Linked DNA regions of Oryctolagus cuniculus. The protein of the gene in region 2 purifies or fractionates together with the protein of the main gene of each other region. This does not show direct contact. Links are inferred from orthologs where the notes say so. Each region holds a gene or a part of one and is shown on either strand. Other genes may lie near its edges.

The links. Proteins that work in one complex are often made in the same cells at the same time.
Region 1: the proteins of WDR48 (region 2) and RAD51AP1 purify together in Homo sapiens (affinity purification with mass spectrometry; 5 studies listed by BioGRID and IntAct, counting the BioPlex papers as one, with this or other methods). This does not show direct contact. The link is inferred for Oryctolagus cuniculus from reciprocal best matches to the Homo sapiens genes WDR48 and RAD51AP1.

Annotation. Positions count from the first base shown.
Region 1 is NC_091440.1:104,909,979-104,914,173, forward strand, and holds the start of RAD51AP1 (RAD51-associated protein 1), read right to left. Parts: upstream 2,834-4,195; 5' UTR 2,674-2,833; coding exon 2,657-2,673; intron 1-2,656. UniProt on the Homo sapiens protein: Structure-specific DNA-binding protein involved in DNA repair by promoting RAD51-mediated homologous recombination.
Region 2 is NC_091441.1:108,255,931-108,259,491, reverse strand, and holds part of WDR48 (WD repeat-containing protein 48), read left to right. Parts: intron 1-8; coding exon 9-105; intron 106-819; coding exon 820-915; intron 916-3,247; coding exon 3,248-3,353; intron 3,354-3,561. UniProt on the Homo sapiens protein: Regulator of deubiquitinating complexes, which acts as a strong activator of USP1, USP12 and USP46. Enhances the USP1-mediated deubiquitination of FANCD2; USP1 being almost inactive by itself.

The sequences.
Region 1 (4,195 bases), on a different chromosome or scaffold from region 2:
CAGCCCTCTGCTGTGGCCAGGGAGTGCAGTGGAGGATGGCCCAGGTGCTTGGGCCCTGCACCCCATGGGAGACCAGGAAAAGCACCTGGCTCCTGGCTCCTGCCATTGGATCAGCGCGGTGCGCCGGTCGCAGCGTGCCGGCCGTGGCGGCCATTGGAGGGTGAACCAACGGCAAAGGAAGACCTTTCTCTCTGTCTCTCTCTCTCACTGTCCACTCTGCCTGTCAAAAAAAAAAAAAAAAAAAAAAAAAGCAGAGCAGCCAGGACTCAAACCGTGCCCACATGGTTTGCTGGCATTGCAGGTGGAGCTTAACTTGTTATGTTAATGCCAAGTCAGCCCTGGTTAGAAACTTCTTGATACTACAATCCATCCTTTTTGATCTCTCCACAATACGAAATAATGTTTTTTATGCAATGGGCTCTTTAACAATGGTGAGTGACCTTGTTCCTGCCACCTGAAATGAATCTTTAAGCTACATGAGGACATTAGAAGAAAATCAAAAGGAAAAAAATAGCATTTCCTTCTTTGTGCCTCTAAGCACTGAATGATACAAATGGTCTTCTAGTCTTGGCTTCTATCTTCTTTCTGTCAAACATCCCAGTGGAACTGCTAGTTGGTCAGTTGGCTGTTCTTTCAAGCAAAAATGACGTCCCATGAAAAAGAAACAAATTCCACTGACAATTCGAATTCACAAATGCTTTTCCTTGAGATAAGCACCCACATTTCAGCATGTAGAATGTAGGTGTAATGCCCACTTCCTCATACCCAATCTTCAAAAAGTGTACTCATGTTACTCTCCTACTCTTCAGTTTTAAAGAATTTCAGAGCTGAATAAAACATAGGACCTCCATCCGTAAAAATCCCAAGATTCAGTAATAGTAAAAGGAAATTGAAAGCCTATTTGAAAAAGAGAGTACACTCAAGGGCTGAGGTACAATGAATACAGTAACTCTTACTGCTTTATCAAGAATATTCTTAAATGAAGCTGAGATTTTGTCCCCACTCTGAATGGTTCGCAGTAAAGAACGCGACCACTGGGAGCAGCCTGACGCCACTGTCTCCACGCGGGCTGAGGTGCCCGCAAGCTTTCTAATCTCTGCCGTGCAAATGACAGAACAGTGAAAAGGGCAAATAAAGTCTTAGGACTGTTAGGAAAATAGCTTTCACTTTGAAGACTGGAGACAGTTTCAGGGACCCCATGAGGTAGCAGATATTTTTTCCTTTTTTTATGAAAGCGAATCTAAGCTTTCATGATATTGACACACAAATGCCTTGAAGTTTAAAGGATTATTTGGTAAATTGTGGGTTTTCTGCTTTTTTATTTTTTTTCCAAAGAATCCTTTTATTTAAGGACTACACACTTCATGCATTTCCTAAGTACAACTTGAGGAATATAGTGATTCTTCCCACCATACCTGCCCTCCCACCACTCCTCCTCCTCCATCTCCCATTCCCAGTCCCATTCTCCACTAAGATCCATTTTCAATTACTTTTATACACAGAAGACCAATTCTATACTAAGTAAAGAGTTCAACAATTTGCACAAAGGAAAAAAAAAAAAAAAACCTGTTCCTCAACAGTCGAGACAACGGCTGGCAGAACATACTTTAACAATCTTTCTTCCCAACAAAGAGACTATCTCTTTGCTACGTGGATGCTTGAAACCCACTTCAAGTTGAGCATGTCTCTAATTCCCCACATGTCATTTTTCTGGTGTTTCCCCTATCACTCAATACAAAAGACATCCATTCAGTGGCTCAGAAATATCAGGGAGTCATCCTTGACTTCTTTTTTACCACTTCATCACAGGGATCATGCTCATGCACTTCATTAGCAAGTTCCACCAGCAGACTATATCCCAGCTTCATCTTCCATTCTGTGTCGACTAATAACACCCCAGGCCAAACCACCGCCCAGTGACCTCACTGGGTCGCTCTACCTGGAGTGCCCCCTACTCTTAGGAGACTAGCTCCTTCTCTTGGCTCGTGTCTATCACACGTCTTCTTCCTGGGAAAGCACGACCTCGCCATCCTACTTCCCTCTTTCCCACTCCATCACATGGCCATGTTTATTTTCGGCGCCCTAACCTCCCCTCCAGCACCCGGTATGGTATAGAAAAAGCAAGTCTCTTCAATAACGCTTTTGCATGAATGGCTGACTGGGGCTTCCAAAAGCACTGGCGTGCATCGAAGCGGAGGAAGACTTTCAAGAATATAATGGAAAGCACAGTACAACGGTCTGGGGTCCGATGATTCAGGGTTGCGCACTGCGCCACCTGCAAGCTGTGTGACCCAGGTAAATTGGCCCAGCTAGTTTGCAATCGGTAAGAGAGGAAGATCTACGCCTCCTGTATGAGAATCGCAGAGAGGAGCAAATGAAAACAACACACAAGCGGGCGTGCGGGGAAATGGGAAGCGCTGTTCACACGCTAGCAGACGGCCTCGTTCGGGTGCGGTGAGCAAAAGGAACAGCAACAGCTGCGAAGGGAGGCAAACGGCGGGGACGCCTCCCTCCGGGCAACCGGAGCTCCTCCCGGGGACTAGCGAGGTCCAACAACCGCCCATTCCACCCTCTCACCCGGCCCTTTCCCTCCATCCGGTGCCGACGCGGTCTACACCGTTCTCCCCACCCCGGCTGGGCGTCAGAAACCACCCACCTCACAGGCCGCACCATGGTCGCTCTCAACGCTGGAGATCCTGCGGCTCTCAGGTTCTTCTCGTCCGCCGCGACGGTTTCAATTCCCGCCCAAAATCAGACATCCCGCACTCCGCCCCGCTGCCAGCAGCCTTCCAATCACCACCAGCCACCCCGCGGCGGCGCATGCGCCCTAAGAAGAGCGCGTGACCTCACGGCCTTCCCCGGGCATCGCCCTAGCATCCGGCTAGCCGGAACCGAGTTTGTGTATTCCCTCAGCACTTTCGTCACGCTGAGGGGCTCCTGCGCTCTTTCTGATATGCACAGTAACGGTAGAAATACACATTATTGCACCTTTCAAATGATTAAACCTGAGAATACTGGAACAAAAGGGGACTTGGACTGAGGATTCTTCTGCAAAGTGCCAGAGAAATGGAACAGACGTGAGTGAATCTGCCGTGGCGGATCTGCTGGCTATAAAAACAAGAGTAAGTCAGCTGACGTTTCTGGTGCCCAGGCTCTCTGACAGCTCGGAGTGAGCGAGCCGCTTCGGAATTAGGTGAGGTGAGCCCTCAGCCAAAAGCTAGGAATACCTTTCCGACTGAAACTCTGTTCCCTCCGTTGGCTGGAGCCCCTGGGCCGGGCAGGCTGCCATCTCGTTCCTTGACCGACCCGAGCCGCAGACTCCGCTCTTGGGCTTATGTGAGCTGAGTCTGGCCCGCCTTCTATTCCAATTTTGTATCTTCTATGATATCACGGCTGCTAAAAAGTGAGGTAAGGGCTTCAAGGTAGACAGACGTAACTAAAATGTGCGTTTTGGAACAGGTGTCTAAACGTTGAATCGGCTGAAGCCGGAGCTAATGATTGGTACCGAAAGCAATGCTTCTGAACTAGTCAGACCAAAAGCCCTTATTTCTGCAAATTTCAATGCCCAGCAGCAGTGTTCTTTTGCTGCTCTGATTTTCTTGTGAGTATTCAATTAGTAACCTGCGGATTTTTTGCTGATGTGTTCCTAGTGTATTTTATTGTTACTGCCTTCCGCGTATTGATCTTACGTTGGTCGGATGCTTTGTGTTCGTTGTTTGACTCGTGTAACAGATCTGCGAGGTACATGACATTATCTCCAACTGATAGTTGTTGAGACGGCGACCGAACGGTGGAGTCAGAATTTGAACTCCTTGAATGACAGTCAGGGACCTGTTCTCCGATCGCGACACTGCCCTTTGTCAGTAAACATTTGCCTGGGGTCCGTGTGCACCCTGGTTCATACGAAGCTGGAGTTGTCGGTAGGGGTTAGATCCTGCGGGGGGCCTTGGATGCCAGGTCAAGGAGTGTTGGGAGGAGGTAGGGCGGGGTTTTAAGTGGAGGGAATCTAAAATATGGAGAGGTGGGGTTGTGTTTCCACTGGCCACAGGGAGTTCTGTTTGGCTGCTTAATTAATCCAGACCAGGTGGTGGTGCTGATGCTACACATGAAGTCAGTGGGATGTTATCTTTTTGTATCATATTCTCCCCTCACTGGCTGAGCTCAGAACTTCTGATGGCACATAGCTCTGGATTCT
Region 2 (3,561 bases):
TGCGCCAGATGTTGACGATCACCCTGGATGAGAGTGACTGCTTTGCTGCCTGGGTTTCTGCAAAAGATGCTGGCTTCAGCAGCCCTGACGGGTCAGACCCAAAACGTGAGTCTGAGCGTCCTTCCCGCTCCTCCCCTTCTGAGAGGGAAGCTCGGTCTGTGTTGTTTTTAGTTGTTTAGTTTTTAGTCGTGAGAATCCCTTCTCTTCCACCTGTGCGATCCCTGGTCACATTCCTCTAAGAATGTAGCATGTAGACATACCTGATGTGTACAAATACAGTCTTAGTGGCTTTCTGTGGAAATACCTCTTTAAAGATGATGTGATTCTTGGTTTTTGTTTTGCTTTTTTTTAAATATGTATTTATTTGGAAGACAGAGTTATATATAGAGAGAGATCTTTTATCTGCTGATTTACTCCCCAAATGGCCTCCAGGGCTAGGCCAGGTGGAAGCCAGGAGCCAGGAGCTTCATCCAGGTCTCCCATGTGGGTGCAGGGACCCAGGGACGTGGGCCATCTCCTGCTGTTTTCCCAGGCATATTAGCAGGGAACTGGGCTGGGCGCAGAGCAGCCAGGACTCAGCTGGCGCCTGTATGGGATACCAGCATGGCAGGCGGTGGCTTAGCCCGTTATGCCACAATGCCGGCACCTTTTGGTTTGAAGGAATGGTGGGACTCACTTTGTGGGTTAAACCAAGCTTACAGTGCAGGTGTCCCATAGCGGAGTGGGTTAAGGATTTAACACCAGAATACTTTAGTTTTATTTATAATTTTTATTTAAAACTATGTTTTCCATTTTTTTCCTAATCAACTTCTTTCGCAGTGAACTTAGGAGGCCTTTTACTCCAAGCACTCCTAGAATATTGGCCTAGAACTCATGTGAATCCAATGGATGAAGAAGAAAATGAAGTCAACCACGGTCAGTGTTTTTCTGTTCACATAATTAATTAATTAAAAATTAGAACTAAAATATACTTAAATTGTTCGCTAACGTGTGACATAATATGTATGTATGACATGTCCATTTCATCGTCCTCCCGTCTACATCTGCAAGTAAGAGCATCCATAGCATCTCACCTGATTCTGAGACTGCAAGAGAGCAGACAAAATAAACCCCACACACGCGCACGCGCACGCGCACAGCCTTTGTCTTAAAACTGGGCACCTCAGCAGGCCTGCTCTAGAAGTATCCCTTAGAGTGTCTGTGGCTGTCTGGGTGTGCCCCACAGCTAGGTAGTCAGGTGCACCAGAAAGCCAGGATTGCTGTGGCGTGGCCATACTGCAGTCGGTCTGAAATAGTGGCCTTACCTAGTCCGGTGATCTCCCTGCTTCCAGTGTCAGGTATTTCCAAGAGATCGAATCCCATCTCACAAGTGTCGGGTCAATGAGTGAAAGTATCAGAGCCGAGTGTCACTGAGGACACTGGGAAGGTGCGTGTATGCCCCAGGCAGCGCAGTCACGTTCTCTGGGCCCCAGAGGACAGGATTGGAGTGTGTGTGTCTGAAGGAGGGGGAGGAAGGGATTCAGAGCTCCACATGTCCCTGGTCACCTAAAGCCAGTGGAGTCGCTGCATCCCACCTCGGGGCCTCCCCTGCTGGTGGTGCCCTGCTGACCACCAGGAGTGAGCTGCCGTGGCGAGTAGCTCCTGGCAGGGGCGTGGTTCTGGCTGACAGAGTCGTCCCTAGTGGTTGTGGACTGGACTCTCTCCTGATGACTTCCTGAAAACAAGTCCCCTGATGTCCCTGGCCGAGATGGGGCACTGAGCTTTTTCCTGCTGGTTTTCCTTTTGTATCGCCTGGCTCACTTCCCTCCCTGAGAGAATTGTACAGAGGACTGTGACCCAGAGAAACGGATGGAAGGGCCTCCACACAGGGTCAAGAGAAGCAGGTTCTGGTGTGGGCTGTGCTGCTTATCGGTTGTGTAGCTGGAGGCAGTTCATTTCCGGTAAGGCAGGATGCCGTCAGAGGCCCAAAATCAATAATCAGGGCTTGGTAATCAAAAAACAGTGGTACAGTGATGCCCCTTGGATCCAGGCTGTGAGTGGAGAGAGTGAGGAGGAAGTCACGAGACCCTGCATCCCTGTCCAGAGCCCAAGTCAGTGCATGCGCCACCCGCCTGGTGATCTGCACCTGCGCCCTGCTCAGTGGGTGCTCCGGAGGTGGCTTGTGCATGATGGGCAGCTGGTGTAGTCAGAGCCCTTAGCAAGTTGCAGGCGAGATACTGACGACCACTGGGCGTGGACCCTGTTCTTCAGGGGCTGCTGTTCTGGTAGGGCAGAAAGCACCTGGAGATGAGAGGGAAGTGTTGGCTGCTGTGTGAGAAGGTCCAGAGGAGCTGTTGGATTTCGGGATTGAAATTGCTTCCGGCCGGCGCCGCGGCTCACTAGGCTAATCCTCCGCCTGTGGCGCCGGCACACCGGGTTCTAGTCCCAGTCAGGGCTCCGGATTCTGTCCCGGTTGCCCCTCTTCCAGGCCAGCTCTCTGCTGTGGCCCGGGAGTGCAGTGGAGGATGGCCCAAGTGCTTGGGCCCTGCACCCCATGGGAGACCAGGATAAGTACCTGGCTCCTGCCATCAGATCAGTGCGGTGCGCCGGCCGCAGCGCGCCAGCCGCGGTGGCCATTGGAGGGTGAACCAACGGCAAAGGAAGACCTTTCTCTCTGTCTCTCTCTCACTGTCCACTCTGCCTGTCAAAAAAAAAAAAAAAAAAAGAAATTGCTTCCGCCTTGGTTAGGGAGGACTGCGTGAATGGGTTGAGACTGGAGTCTTGGGTAAGTGCACTTGGGTGAAAAGATGACAAAGCAGAGTAGAAATGAAATCAGAGAACAATAAAAGTGACAGGGCCTCTTTGAGAATTTTGTTTTTCACTAAGACCTGTGTTACGAGTTGGAGATGCTATAAAAGTTTTTCTGTCCCTCTCAAGAAAGTTTTCTGAGCTGGGTATATGCTACAAAAAAACACTAGATCATCGTGTATGAATAGGCTGTGTTGTGGCTGCAGGAGCTGGTGACGTTTTTGATTCTGAAACGGAAGTCCCTTCTTTTATAAAATCCACCAGTAGACAGTCATTTGTCTCTGGGACACCTCCAAGTTGCCCATTTTTCTCATTTTCAAGAATTTTACTCTTATTTTTTTTTTCTTTCCACATTCCTTTCTAACCCTGATGGCCTTCCAGCACCTCGCAGGGTGTGATGTTCAGAGCCTGTGTCTGTAGCGCTAACTCTGGTACTGACTGCACCTGCCTCTCTTCCTAGTCAACGGGGAGCAGGAGAACCGAGTGCAGAAGGGCAATGGCTACTTCCAGGTGCCCCCCCACACGCCCGTCATCTTTGGCGAAGCCGGAGGCCGCACGCTTTTCAGGTATGGGGCAGAGGCCGGTGGCCCTGCCGGAGAAAGCACCCCGGTTGCCATGGAGGACTGCCCCAGAAGGGCGTTGGAGGTGGACTGGGATGCGCTCCCAGGCCTGGTGGGGCCCTGGGAGTTTCCAGTGCGGGTCAGAGGTCAGTGGCTGAAGCTGGTGGAGCACTCTCCGCAGAGGAGCAGCCCCCGCGTTCTGTGAGGTGACGCC